Arabidopsis thaliana: one gene and its partner. The protein of the gene in region 2 purifies or fractionates together with the protein of the main gene of each other region. This does not show direct contact. Each region holds a gene or a part of one and is shown on either strand. Other genes may lie near its edges.

Evidence for each region. The genes of interacting proteins can lie anywhere in the genome.
Region 1: the proteins of TOPP3 (region 2) and SAD1 fractionate together in Arabidopsis thaliana (co-fractionation; one large-scale study listed by BioGRID). This does not show direct contact.

What each region holds. Positions count from the first base shown.
Region 1 is NC_003076.8:19,811,815-19,817,162, forward strand, and holds SAD1 (Small nuclear ribonucleoprotein family protein), read left to right. Parts: upstream 1-1,531; 5' UTR 1,532-1,592; coding exon 1,593-1,626; intron 1,627-1,742; coding exon 1,743-1,866; intron 1,867-2,292; coding exon 2,293-2,365; intron 2,366-2,512; coding exon 2,513-2,548; 3' UTR 2,549-2,740; downstream 2,741-5,348. Other genes in the region: AT5G48860 (uncharacterized protein), read right to left, coding at 1-97, 785-1,051; KAT5 (peroxisomal 3-keto-acyl-CoA thiolase 2), read right to left, coding at 2,762-2,853, 2,938-3,021, 3,104-3,212, 3,296-3,419, 3,487-3,583, 3,664-3,796, 3,875-3,952, 4,021-4,128 and 6 more. UniProt on the Arabidopsis thaliana protein: Component of LSM protein complexes, which are involved in RNA processing. Component of the cytoplasmic LSM1-LSM7 complex which is involved in mRNA degradation by promoting decapping and leading to accurate 5'-3' mRNA decay.
Region 2 is NC_003070.9:23,755,235-23,764,074, forward strand, and holds TOPP3 (type one serine/threonine protein phosphatase 3), read right to left. Parts: upstream 5,430-8,840; 5' UTR 5,041-5,429; coding exon 4,863-5,040; intron 4,415-4,862; coding exon 3,855-4,414; intron 3,719-3,854; coding exon 3,506-3,718; intron 3,410-3,505; coding exon 3,392-3,409; 3' UTR 3,007-3,391; downstream 1-3,006. Other genes in the region: AT1G64050 (uncharacterized protein), read left to right, coding at 7,350-7,539, 7,721-8,029, 8,206-8,331, 8,802-8,840.

The DNA.
Region 1 (5,348 bases), on a different chromosome or scaffold from region 2:
CTTCCATACCTTCTTGCAAGGATCTTTGATAAGTTCCTATCCTCATTAACATGTGTTGCACCTTGTTTTTCGATCCTCTAAGCTTCCAAGTATATGACTACAACAACGAGATTGAATATCTAATGATACAAATGGTATCTTAACTATATACTTTCTTTTCAATTCTTCTGGTAATGTGTATTTAACAATTAATTTTGCTAATCTTGGATGTAGCTTTGCACATGGATTGCTACAGATTAGAGCTGTCACAGCGGGCTGTCCATGTCCATTAGCCCAGTCCAATAATGTCCATTTCGATATTGGACAAATAGTGTTCATGTCCACTAAGGCACATGTCCATTAACGCCCGTGCCCATTAATGTCCATGTCCAAATGGGTTGTCCAATAGGCATAACAAAACCAAATTTTAACACAATAGTATTTGCTTCAGCAAGATGCTTGAATGTTTCTTTGTAAATAATCGCTCTAGAGAGCATTAGATGTGTAGAATTCCATTTTGTGCTTACTACCAATTCTTTTTTCTGTTTAAGTAACTCATATTAGTGAGCTAAGCTTTTGATATTTGCAGTTTCATGAATACACGGTGTCAAAGGACCAAGCTTCATAGTTCATACTATGCATAATGCAGACAATGAACACTATATCAAACAATAGTAACAGAAATCGAAAGAGACCCATGTCAAAATCACTCTCAATAAGCAAAAAACAGTAACAAAAAATCATTTCGAATTGAGTAATCAAAAACCCAGATCGAATTGAGTAAAAATGACGAGAATTTGCTTACTTGAACTGGATTAGGAATCTCAGGAGGATCCATGATGTGATGGAGTTGAGATGTTGAAGGAACTCGCCGGAGAAATCGCCGGAAAGAAGAAATCGCCAAATAAGCGTCGGGGAAATGTTTTTTCCCCAAATTTATTTTTGCCCGAACACTTAAACCTAATATTTTTTGACCATTGGGCCGCCCATGTCCATCACGTCCAGTCCGCTGATGCCCATGTCCGTTAACGCCCATGTCCATTAATGCCTGCTTCATAATGGGCTTGTCCATGCCCGGTCCATTAGGCGTTGGACACGGGCCACTCGTCCATTTTGATAACTCTACTACAGATCAATCGTTCAAAGAAATAATAAAATCTCAGTAGACCTATGTTTGGAAGAAACAAGAAAATTTCATAGATCCGTATAATGGATCCATGATTCAAGATTAGCATAATTAAATTCGAAAGTAAATTGACCTTATAACTAAAGTAAAGTGAATTAGGTGGTTACAGTTTTTTCCAATGACATTGTAACATAATATCTTACAAAAGCCAATATTACTATTTGAAAGGTACTTCCGTACTAGTAATGTAGGGATTTGAGACGTGATTATTTATCCTTAATATTCTAATTAGATTGAAGGTTTATATATTAAGTTTTCCATAGTTAAAAGTCAATCTTGAAACAAAAAGATAGTTTGAGGGTTCTCTTGTAAATTTCCTAAAAGTAAAACATTAATACCCTAAAAATCGAAAAATCAGAAAAAGCTTCGGAGCAAGAAAAATCAGAGAAAATTCAAAAACCCTTCACTTGCCTCACTGTTCTTCGTCATGGCGAACAATCCTTCACAGCTTCTTCCTTCAGGTATGCAATTTTTTCTTCACATCTCTCACTTTCCACCTTCTTATATGTAAGAAAATCGAACTAGATCTGCGATTTTTTGGTTTTCAATTTTTGAGCGATTTGGTTTGTTTGTGCAGAGCTAATCGATAGGTGTATAGGGTCTAAGATTTGGGTGATAATGAAAGGAGATAAGGAGCTCGTTGGTATTCTCAAAGGATTCGATGTTTATGTCAACATGGTTCTTGAAGATGTCACCGAATAGTAAGTCTGATTTTAGGGTTTCGATTATTGCTTCATATCTTGTTTAATTGGAATGTTGCTTGATCTATTACACTTTAGGAGGTGAATCATAGACATTGAACCATGGATGTGATTATGCAGAACTTAGCCTTTTGGATTTTGTTTTTGGGTAATTGATCTCAATACTGATTTGTGAATGTCCATCACAGTTCATTCATTTGCTGATTAATGACATTTATTGTGTATGCATAGAGTCTATTTCAGCGGGGTCATATGTGGTTTCGGTGACTTGAGTTGTTTGTGGTTGTGTGAGGATTAGTTAATTGATGCTTAAACCCGTGTTGCTTTGGAGTTAGGATCTCATAGATTCAAGTTTTGATTGTAACAAATTCTTGATTGAATTGTAACTAGAGTGTGTTACTAATTTATCTAAGCATCGTTGTGTAGTGAGATTACGGCAGAAGGAAGACGGGTCACAAAGCTTGATCAGATTCTACTCAATGGCAACAACATCGCCATTGTAAGTAAAAAAACACTTGTGGTTACTCATAGCCATACGTTGTATAAACTTCCTTGTGATGAATTTTCAAGTATCTTGATATAAACAGTTGGTCATTTGAATAGTCAAATTGCTAAGAAACTGGTGTTGAAAATGTTTGTGATGCAGCTGGTGCCAGGTGGGTCTCCCGAAGATGGAGAATGAGATTTGCGAGATTTGATTGGTGTTTTCAGACTTGTGTGAGGAAGGATGTAACTTTTGGTTTTAGATTTAACACTTTGTTCAGAGAAAAGTAGTTGATTTTAAACTCAGAATGACAAAAGTTTTCATTGTTCAGCAATGTGAAAGAGCTAAAGCATCATATTTATTAGACTCAATGCATCATTACTTCTACTTATTCAAGCTCTCTTCGATGTTCTAATGACTATCCCCGTTAGCCACACGAGCGTTGGACAAGTTATCAACAGAGTCTCCCCTCTCAAAAACAGCTGCAGCTCCCATTCCAGTGCCTGTGACGTTCGCATTTTACATATACCATTAACATAGGTAATCATTGATCCAATTCAATCTGAAAAAAAATCTTATATATATACCTATGCACATTGAGATTACTCCAAAGCGGCAATCTTTTCCTCTCCGCTTCATCTCGTGCAACAATGTCGCAACACATCGAGCTCCTGAACATATAGAAAAGAACTCTATTAGCCTGTAACAAATGTTGCATTTTATTTAGTTACGACAAGCTTGGTAAGTAGTAACCTGTAGCACCCAGGGGATGGCCAATAGCAATGGCTCCTCCATTAACATTGACCTTTTCCATATCCAGCTCTAACTTCTTGCAAGAGTACACATACTGAGATGCAAATGCCTGTTTAACAATGCAACAATAAAGATTTATATGTATGTATTATTCCGAAACAGGAAAAAAACCAATGTGAAATATTTTGTTACCTCATTGATCTCGAATAGATCAATATCGCTGACGTTGAGCCCTGCGAGCTTAGTTGCAGCGGGAATGGCAACAGCTGGACCAATACCCATTACAGATGGTTCCACACCAGTAACAGCAAAACTCCTGCATTGTTCCGGAATCAGATTTGCTCGGTTTCTTGAACTGGCAAAATGTTGTATATTCATTTTACCTGAATACTCCAAGAATGGGAAGTCCCTTCTTCATAGCCAAACTTCTCTTCATTAGCAGTACTGCTCCAGCACCATCACTGATCTGACTAGCATTGCCTACACAAAACACATATACTTAAATGCTTCAATCTATGATCTCACTTATGCCAGTGATAGTTAAGAGAGTTGTTTCTAACCAGCTGTGGTGGAACCGTTCTGTTTAAAGACAGTCTTCAGCTTTGCCAAATCTGCCATGTTTGAGTTTGGACGTACACCGTCATCAACAGATACGACGATTGCCTTCTCTGCTTTAGTCTCAGGGTCCACAATCTGTCAAGAACAATATCATTTACTGAGAAAGCTCTACCAAAAGGGCTTTAAAGGAAGTTTGGGAGGTTCTTGTTTTACCTTAGTAGCAACAGGAATGATTTCATCCTTGAGTTTACCAGACGCGATTGCAGCTGCAGCGCGTTTGTGAGACTCCACCTGATTATTACTGAATCAGTACTTATATGAACTAGAGAGGAAAAAAGTGAAGAGAATAACTAACTAACCGCAGCCATATCTTGCTCTTCTCTTGTGACACCGAACCTTTCTGCAACGTTTTCAGAAGTAATTCCCATTGGAAGCAAACAATCACGGGCTTTTGGGAAATCCTGTGCCTATTCCCATGTAGAGTTTACAAGATCATCACAAAACTCTTCTTGTTGAGTAAATTTATACACTCATTGTGATAGCTTACTCTTGGATTAGAGCCATGAAAGCCGCCTCCAGGAATATGATCAGTTGACATTGATTCCACTCCAGCACCAATACCTATGCAATTCACAAAGTTGAGAGAATCAATCCCATGGCCTATACAAGCAGCTAGAGACTACAAAAAACTGATGCAGCAGCATCTTACCAATGTCGTAATAACCAGCTCTAATGGAAGCAGCAACATCAGCAACTGCTTGTAGTCCTGATGAGCATTGTCTATTGACAGTTCTAACTGGCACGGAGTCTAGCTCGTAAAAGAGAAGGATGAAGAAACATATCAACAACTTGTGAGATATTAAGTTTATCTTGATTCTTGAATGAGATTTAGTACCAGGAAAACCAGCAAAATAAGCTGCAACTCTACACTCCATTGCTCTCTGAGAACCAGGCGCTATCACGGTACCAACAACGATATCACCAACTTCACTTGGATCCAAAGATGTTCTTTCCACTACAGCCTAATCAGAACAAACCATGAAACATAAGAAATCATTGATACTACTACTCCATGCATGCACAAGGTTTAATTGATGACTTACCTTAAGAACAGAAGCAAGAAGATCATCAGGAAGAGTGTCTTTGAAACCTCCACGTCTCGCTTTGCAAATGGCGGTACGATATGCCCTGAAGAAGAAGAAGAATCAAGAAACAAAGAAAACTAAAGAAAGTGAAAGTGAAGCAAACTCAATGAGTATACTTACGCTACAATCACAATGTCATCTCCAAAAGCAGCCATTGGGGAAACTTCAGAAACACAATTCACAGGCTAAAATTAACAAAAACACAAGTGAGTCACATAATAAAACAGAGTTAAAGATCATCAGCTTCCACAAACAATTTCAATGTCTAATTAAGACTCACGGATTAAGACAACTAAACTTACAGACAGAAGAGAAGGTTCATGTTTAAGAGAAGAATTAGAAGAAGAAACTGGATTGAGATGACGAAGCAATATCTTTTGTCTTTCCATAGCTCTCTCCATGATTCTCTCTGTTGCAAACACTTGTGTTGCAGCTGAATTCTAATGGTGATTGAAAGACAAAAACTTTCCGGGGAAACTGAAATGGGTTTGGTTGATTTTTCTGGAAAGGGGAAGACGTTAAGTACAATGAGCTTCAGGGTC
Region 2 (8,840 bases):
TTCACCAAAAAAAAGAATCTTCTTTAATTTTTTTAAATAAATAAATTTCCTCTTTTAAAATAAATAAATGAGTTTTTTGTTTCACATGTTGAAAATCTGAGACCGTTAAAATTAACACTGTGGTGAGTTACTAACTTTAATACTTTATATAATAAGATAAAGCAAATAGAGATTTAGCAAAACCAAAAACAAAACTCAAAAATCATATGAAAAACCAAATCTTAAAATCCCAAACTCCTATTTAGGCCGATCTTAAGCAGAAGAAGATAAGGAAGGATCGAAGATTTGACCAGCGAACAAAACAGTTCCGGTTTTGTCTTCTCTAATAAAGAAAAAAAATGGATGATCTGCCACAAAATCTATGGGAGGAGGAGGCCTATAAAGGCTGCAGCCACAAGCACCAACTAGAGCAGTAGCAGCCGCAGCTTCAGTACCTTCTTCATCAATCTCAATCATAGCTTTTTGGTATAATGATACATCAAGCGCAAAGTCATTGAAAACGCTTGAAGCTTCAAAACCGAATTCAATCTTAAACTTTGGAATTCTGAATTCACCAACTTCAACTCTCCAACTCGGAATGTGACTGTCCAAGAATCCATCAGTAGATGTCATTTTCTCCACAAGATTATCCAATCCATCTTTCTCGTCCGGGAGATAGGTACACATTGAGAATTGGCGACTTGTATCATTAACGCCTTGTCGGTATGGTTGTCTAAGGACCTTGAAACCATCGTAAGCCTTAACATATTGACTTTGTGAGCTTTGCATGAATGGCACATGTACTTGTTTGCCATTGACAAGGTAGAAAGGTTTGTGTTTCGTCATTGACTTATAGAATTTGTCTTCCCAGGCTCCTTTGAAGTACAATGCGTTTCCATAAATCCACAAGGTTTCGCTTGTAACGGATCCAGGAGGTAGAAGATCTTTGATGATACCATTGGTGTGACGTAATGCCCAAGAATTCACCTCCTCACGCACTTCTTCAAACTTCAAAACAACAAACCAAAACATTGAATACGATATGTAGTTTCTCTAAGCACTCGTTTCACACAATCTCTTGCCCTAATTTAATCAAAGCAAATTCGAAATCAGAAACTGACCTTGGATCGGAAATCAACTTGAGCGAAAGCAGACTTGTAGAAATTCTCAAAGAGATCTTTCGACTCGGGACTACACGGAAGTGATTGCTCTCTCCACACTCCATTAACCACCGTGATTTTGGGGCCACCTGTTTTGCTTCCGTCGACGAGGACGACGGAAGCTATTTCGCGGAAGATGTCGTTGAGCTCGTCGGTGGAAGAAGACCTAAGGAAGGAGAGGATGCAAGATTTTAGTGCTTCACTGTCGGAGGTAGCAGCGGCCATGGTGAGAACGGAGTTGATAGATGCAGGAGAGAAGACGACGTTAGAGTTTTTGTCTGCGGCAGAGATTACTTCCCCCGCAAGGAAAAGAGCAACGTCGTTTTGCTTCTTCATCGCTTCTTGACATGGACGTTTTGCTTCTTCGTCGTATTGCTTCTTGTCAAGAAGTTCTTGCAAAGAATCCATCTTTTGCTTTTTCTTCGTGTTGAGTGCTAGAGAAGGGCTCTGCGATTTCTGATGTGCTAAGTTTTTGGTTCTTCCTTTTAATTTTTGTTCTGAGCACACAAATATATATATAAAATATAAGATGCCTAGTATCTAATTAAGATAGAACTTGGTGCATCTTCGAATTAGGGGAAAAAAAAAAGTATATACATACCATATAATAATCTGATATCTGTTAGGAGAACTAAACTTTTTTAATCATATATACACTTTTATGATAATCATGATTAGGATCCTTCAGGCTTTATAATGAAATTTTAATTTAAATATCTTATCTTTTATATATAGGAATTTTGTTATTTAATTATAAATAAAATTTAAGTGAAGTTTCTAGAGTATGATTATTCAATATTCATAATAGATATTACAATGATTATGTGTTATGTTTTTGGTAAAAACTTAAAATTAATTAATATTGACTTTAGCACCACCTTATATTGTATCCAATATATAGTTTACTTTAAAATTTAAATAGATTTTAACTAAAATATAATATTAGTTTCTGATATAGCATCTCTTAATTTAAGAATATTTTAATATTTATAGATTTTGTTGTTGTTAATTCTTTACTTATATCCAAATTCTATCTCATATCCAATCCATATTTCTTGTCGGGCAGATAGAAATACATTTTGAGTATTCACGATTGATATCATCATCGCTTTGTCGGTATGGAAGCCTGAGGACCTTGGAACCATTGTAACCCCCAACTTATTGGTCCCATTTGCTTCTCACAAATGTCACAAACACTGACGCACCATCGAGTAGGTGGAACTCTTTCTTTTCTGTATACCACTTATCGAATGGTTCAGCCCAAGCTCCTTTGAAATACAATGCGTTTCCATAAACCTCAATTGTTTCACTGTTTACGGATTCAGCCATTCAGGAGGAAGAAGGTCTTTGATGAGACCCCATCATTGTGTTGGCGGAGTTGATTGATGCCGGAGAGAAGATGAAGTTAGCTAGCTTCTGAAGCTATTACTTTACCCGTAAGGACCAAATCGTCGTTTCGCTTCTTCATTGCTTCTCGCAGAGAGGGACTTGCAATGACTTGTGGTTTGCTGAATTTTTGCGTTCTTCGGTTCGGATCCATCTTTCGGAGAGAAAGATCTGCTGTTTTAGACGATGTGCAAAGTTTTTGTATAGTCATCTTTGGATTCATCCTTGAACGAAAGTAACGTACTATTGCGAATCGTCGAGCTATCATCTTTTTAACTTTTCCGTTTATTTCTTCTGACATGTGTGTGTGTGTATAGTCTATATAGAGAACTTGGGTTTTTAATGCAGGGGATATTACGAGAGTCTAAACAAGTATCAATGGATCTTGTAGAAACTGACCTAGCTTAGAGTTCTCTGTTTCTTAAGAATCAATGGCAAAACAAGTATGTAGTAGGAAATCATAAGTCGTCTAAGCTTGTAAGCGTGAAGAAGAAGTAAAACTCAAATGGAACAGCCACTACATCAGTTTTGTGAATCATTAACCTATCATTCATTGTTAAGTTTCCAAACGAAACACCGTGCCGTTTTTTTCCAAGTGACGAGGAACATTATGATTTTCATTTAAATGTTTTAACAAAAAACGACATAAAGTGTATCTCACAGAGAATAATATCTCAGATTCACAGAGGTCAAAGACACCAAGTGATCCAGAGTAGTCAAGGGAAAAGACAGAAGTACCCCTTGCCAAAGTGATCCAGAGCAGAGGAAGAAGAAGAAGAAGACAGTTTGATAAGTTCAGCTGATCAAGCAAGTGTCTTGAACCAAGAAACATGGAATACACAAAACAGAGTTTATGGGATTTGTCTTCAGCCTTTTCCACCACCCTAAAAGAGAAAACAAAACAATGAGATGACTAAGAAGGCCTGCCCTAATAGAACTCAGTATGTAACTGTATCATTCGATGCTTTAAAGATTCTCACCTTGCGAGGCGGGGTTCCTCGCCTTCCTGCATTTTTGCCAAACCCGAAGTTTCCTTTCTTCTCAGATGCTTTAAGGATCTGAAATGAGCACGTCAAGGAATCATCCACACTCATCATTGCTCCTGCGTTATCAAACTCTCCGCAGTAGTTTGGGGCCGAGAATATCGTTACTAGCTGTCTATTTGCAAAGAATTCATACCCGTCTTCCACAACCTAAAGGGCAAAACAATCAACTTCAATGAGGTTAAAAGAGATAAATCATAAGTATTCGTCCATTATTTGTAGGTCCTATGATGACAAGTAAACAAAAGAGACGTACCACAGATACATGTCTAAAGCAAAATATTACCTGATGAGCTCTACAAATTAAGTCAAGGTCATGCGTTTGAAGAAACTCCTCGACTTTATCAGCCCCAAAAGTGTACGAGACACCCCTGTCATTCTCTCCCCATCCTTCAATGTCTTTGTCAGGATCAGACCACAACAGATCACACAGTAGTCCATGATCAGGAATGTCAGCAGGACGAGGAATGTTCCTGATCTCATCCAAGTGCTTCAACTCAGGCGATAGCCCACCATGCATACAGAGGATCTTTTCATCAATAAGAGCAGCAACAGGTAGACAATTAAAGCAGTCAGTAAATATCTTCCACACTCGAACGCTATATCTCTTCTTGCACTCGTCATAGAATCCGTATATACGGTTTATAGAAGCACACTCATGGTTCCCACGTAGAAGAAAGAAATTCTCTTTGTATTTGATCTTGTAGGCAAGAAGAAGGCATATGGTCTCTACACTCTGCTTTCCACGATCTACATAATCCCCAAGAAACAAATAGTTTGCAGCTGGTGGGTAGCCACCATACTCGAACAATCTCAAAAGATCTGAGAACTGACCATGAGTATCTCCTATTAAAAACATGAAACCAACCCCCATTATAGAAGTGCTATTTCACTAGAAACACAAGCCACACAAGCATATGCTACTACTGGTTGCTATAAAATGAAGCAGAACAAACTTATGTATTAGTAAACACATTAGCAACTTTCTGATACCATTATACATCAAAATGATACACAAGATGCACAGAACAATACACTATCAGCTCTGAATCTCTGATATGGAGACAAATGATCATTTCTAACTTCTTTTAGTATCTCACTAATGATAACTGATCAAGTAAACAACAGATTCATATGCAATTCTACAAATATCATTCATACGAATTTATCTAAATTTAAACAACTCTGGTTAGCTAATCAATCTCTAGTTCTATGGATAATCAAACATAATCTACGCAAATCCTCGTAGAAAAGAAAATTTGAAGAGGAGAGAACAAAATTGATGAATGAATACCACAAATCTTAATAGGAGCCTCGAGTTCAAGAAGATTAGGTTGAGTGAGAAAGATCTGCTTAGCGGTAGAACAAAGATGTTTAATCTCAGCCTCCGTCAACTGAACCTGCTTCGTCGTCTTCCCGTTTTTCGCTCCTAGTAACCTCTTTATAACATCATCCACCACACTATCTTCCATCAAAATCAATCAATCACTACGAAACCTAACAAAAACCTCTCGAATTCGGTACACCGGAGCGATGAGATAAGAGTTTTTTTCGTCTTCGACCTCCAGTTTCGAAACGCCGTTTCCGATCAAGATGGTTCAAAATCACTTTCCTCTTCGTAGAGAATCAATAGAGAGAGAAGAGAGGTTTTGTGGTATGTGAAGGTATGAGAAGAAGAAGACGGAGGAGCCCTAGACAGAGAGAATCGGCTAGAGAACGGGGAAGGAGAAAAAAGGAAAGCACACGTGCGGCTCGTGTGAACCGGAAGGGACGGCTTTGTCTTTTGACCAAATTTATTTTTTCTATTATTTTAAAAACTAAAGATGGGGATACTCTTACATTTTTTTTATTAATTATTTTTGTCAAAATGCGGCTTGAATATTACATAAAGAAAATATTTCTATACTATTTTCATATTTTGAAGTCCGAATAATTTGATCAAAATCGATGCTTCATTTTTGTGGAATCTTGCTTAGACTAGTCATCAAATATGTCTCTTCAACGTGTCCAGAAGTATATTTATATTATGATTTTTCTCTTCTTCTTCTTTTTTTCTTCTTGCCAATACCTGAGAATATTGTGTAATTAAGTTGTTTAGATAATTTATGAAAACGTAACGAAGACTCTGCCAACGCTTATCCATCCACATGACATAGCCAAATTCCACACATGCATGAATATTGTAATAAGTTGAAGCAATATAGATCCAAGTCCTATTGGCCCATATGATTGTTTTTCTTCTTTCAGGCCCAATTGCTAATCCAATATAAAACAATAAGGCTTTATACGTTTAAGACAAAACTGGATTATTGTTATTTTATTCCATTTTGTTAACAAAAAAACTTCTAAGTGTTTAGATTCATAATTGTTTTGGTTTAGGATCAACTGTTGGTAAGACATGTTTTTTAGATAAAGAAAGTTTTTAGAAAATTTATTATTTTGAGTAATACATATTATTTTTAAGAAACTTTACTATTAAATTTCCATAATTTAAAATGATCTGAAACTAATTATGCTTTTAAAATTAAACGTCTTTTTAATTTTTCTCGTCTAAATGATTCATCCATGATAGGTATAGTTATATTTAATAAGAAAATTTGTTTTTTCCAAAAATAAAATTGACGGGTACATAAAATTAACGTCTTTTTAATTTTTCTCGTCTAAATGATTTATCTATGATATGTATAGTTATATTTAATAAAAAAAAATTTTTTTCTAAAAATAAAACTGGCGGATACATAAAAACTCTAAAACCAAAAATTAAAAAGCGGATATAAAGAAAGAAGAACCTTAAAGCACACGGAATATATAAATACCACATTCAAAAGCAACATAGCCGAAAACTCTTTGACAAAACAGTTTGATGTATTGAGAAAGATTACAAAGATGATCTTCCAAGAGGACCCAACATTAGATTGCCTCAATAGTTTTAAACAAATACTAAACCACGCTTACACAACCATAATCTCAACAAAAACGAACACAAATAAACAAAAGAAATAGAGCACATATCCAAACAATCACTACCTGTAAAAACTAACTTTAAATACAAAAGCAATCCCTTCAATATTGTAAAGTTCATGTTTTATTCTTTTTTGTCAATGTAACTTCATTGACTTGTTCAAGAAGACCTTGAACCGAAATAGTTAAATCAAAAATCTGTTAACGGAACCAACACAATCTAACGGCGTTAACATTCAGATAAGGGATAATTTCGTCAAAATCAAAAACACCCTCCGCTCCAAGCAAACACCTGAGAATCCACCAGTGGCATATTTGGAAACTCATATCAAACCACATGAACCAAGTGAAATCTTCACTTGAATACGTGTCACTCTATTAACCAACAAGATCATAAAAACCCCGTCATCAGTCAACATCCAACGGTTCTAAATCACTCCGTTTCGCAATAATGTAGTAGCCACGTCAGAGTTACCAGTACAGACGAGCTCACCGGAACAATCTCACCGTCGACGGCTTATCTAAAACAAGGCCAAAGTTAATTTCCCGAAAACTATAAATACTCATCTTTTTTTTCTCCTCTTTCATTTTCTTGCCCTAGATTAAAATCCCTCGATTCACGCAGCCGCACCATTGCGTTTCTTCATCGAGGAAAAAAAAACCAAATCAATCTCACTCTTGTAGCTCACTATTCTCCAGAAATTTCTAAGATTTAGCTTTCTCTAAAGCTCGATCGAACTATCTGGGTTTTGGTTTAAAAGGAGATGATGAGTTCGTATCGCAGCTTACACGGCTGCGATGTTTTCGATTTGGGTTTGTGATGGATGGTTTGAAGATTTCTTGTCCTGTGGATGTTTCGTTGCCGGCTAAGCTTATGGGATCTGAAGGGTGTGGTGGTGGAGTTAGGGTTTCGTCGAATAAAGCAGATAACAACTGTGACAAGGCTCGTGTCTCGATTGGTGTTAATTCTTCAATTGAGCGTTGTAGTAGTGCTTCAATCAACAAGAAAGGTTAGCTAATTTCTCTTCACTTTGACTTCAAATTTCATTTGGGGATTTTGAAATTATTCTTCTTTACACTGAGTACAGTTTATAGTTGTAGATCCAAATTTGTGTTTTTGTTCTTGGTAAATTTGCAAACTTTTTCAAGTTTGGTTGGATGGGTTTTGATTTAGTCTTGTTCTTGATTTAGGAGCAGGAAGTAGCAGTGGAGCGTCTGATTCATCGTTATGGCGCAAGTTAATGCATTCACATGACTTTGTACATGATAGGCTTACTAAACTTCGGGTTGACAATTCATCTGAGCCTCAAAATGGTTATTCACCGATTGCTAGTCCAGAAAGTGCGGAGTCTCCTAGGAAAAGAGGAAAACTTTCTAGAAGTAGTAGTGGTAATGGCACTCCGAGAAGGACGAAATTGATCCTTTTAGATGAAACGGTGAGGACACAGAGAGATAACGACACCAAGGAGATATGTGGACAAGGATCTACTAGTTGCTTAGGTAACTCTCATGTGATTTCTTTGTCTGAAATTATGCATTCATTTAGTCAGTAGCATATATTTTAAAAGAATATGTAATATGTTGGTGAAAGTTTAATGTTTCACACTCTGAAAAAGTGCCTGTGTATCATTTTGCCTTGTGAGGTTACTTATTACCTTCTGTTGAATGCTAAACAGATAAACCGTTTGTGGTGAAGCAACGGAGCAGTTATAACGGCAAGCGAGGTGATAAGAGGATTTCCAAAGTTCCGGTGAGAACTTTATCAACCATCAATTCAGCGACTGGCGAGAATGCATTTTTCGGTATGTGATTGCTTCTGAATTAGCCTTGTCCTGTGGTATCCAATAGTGTACTCTAATTCAACAGTTGACTCCTCAACCTGGTCGATTTACTTTGGCTAGTTATTATATTTTCTTTTATACTTTCAGTTCTATAGATTGCTTCGTCTGAACTTTGAAGTGATTTACAAGTGAAATCTGTTCTGAGGTAGCTTTAGAGGTCCCCTCGGTCACTTGTTATGATTTTTAGTTTATTTTGAATCCTCCCTGACATCACATTGAAAAGGTTTCATTGGCTGACATATTCTTTGCATCGCTAAGGTACCAAAGGGACAATGTAAGAGTTATAGCACCAGTGCATTTCACTACTATCTCATTAAAATGCGACCTTGTTGACATGACAAGGTCTCGTCAGTATATTCTCCTCACGTGAAATGGTCTGATCTTTTTCTAGTGTTGTGTTTACCTCTTAATTTTCCTTACCTTACATGCAGGTGCCTATGGCCTGAAGCCTGCAATAAATGATGTTACCA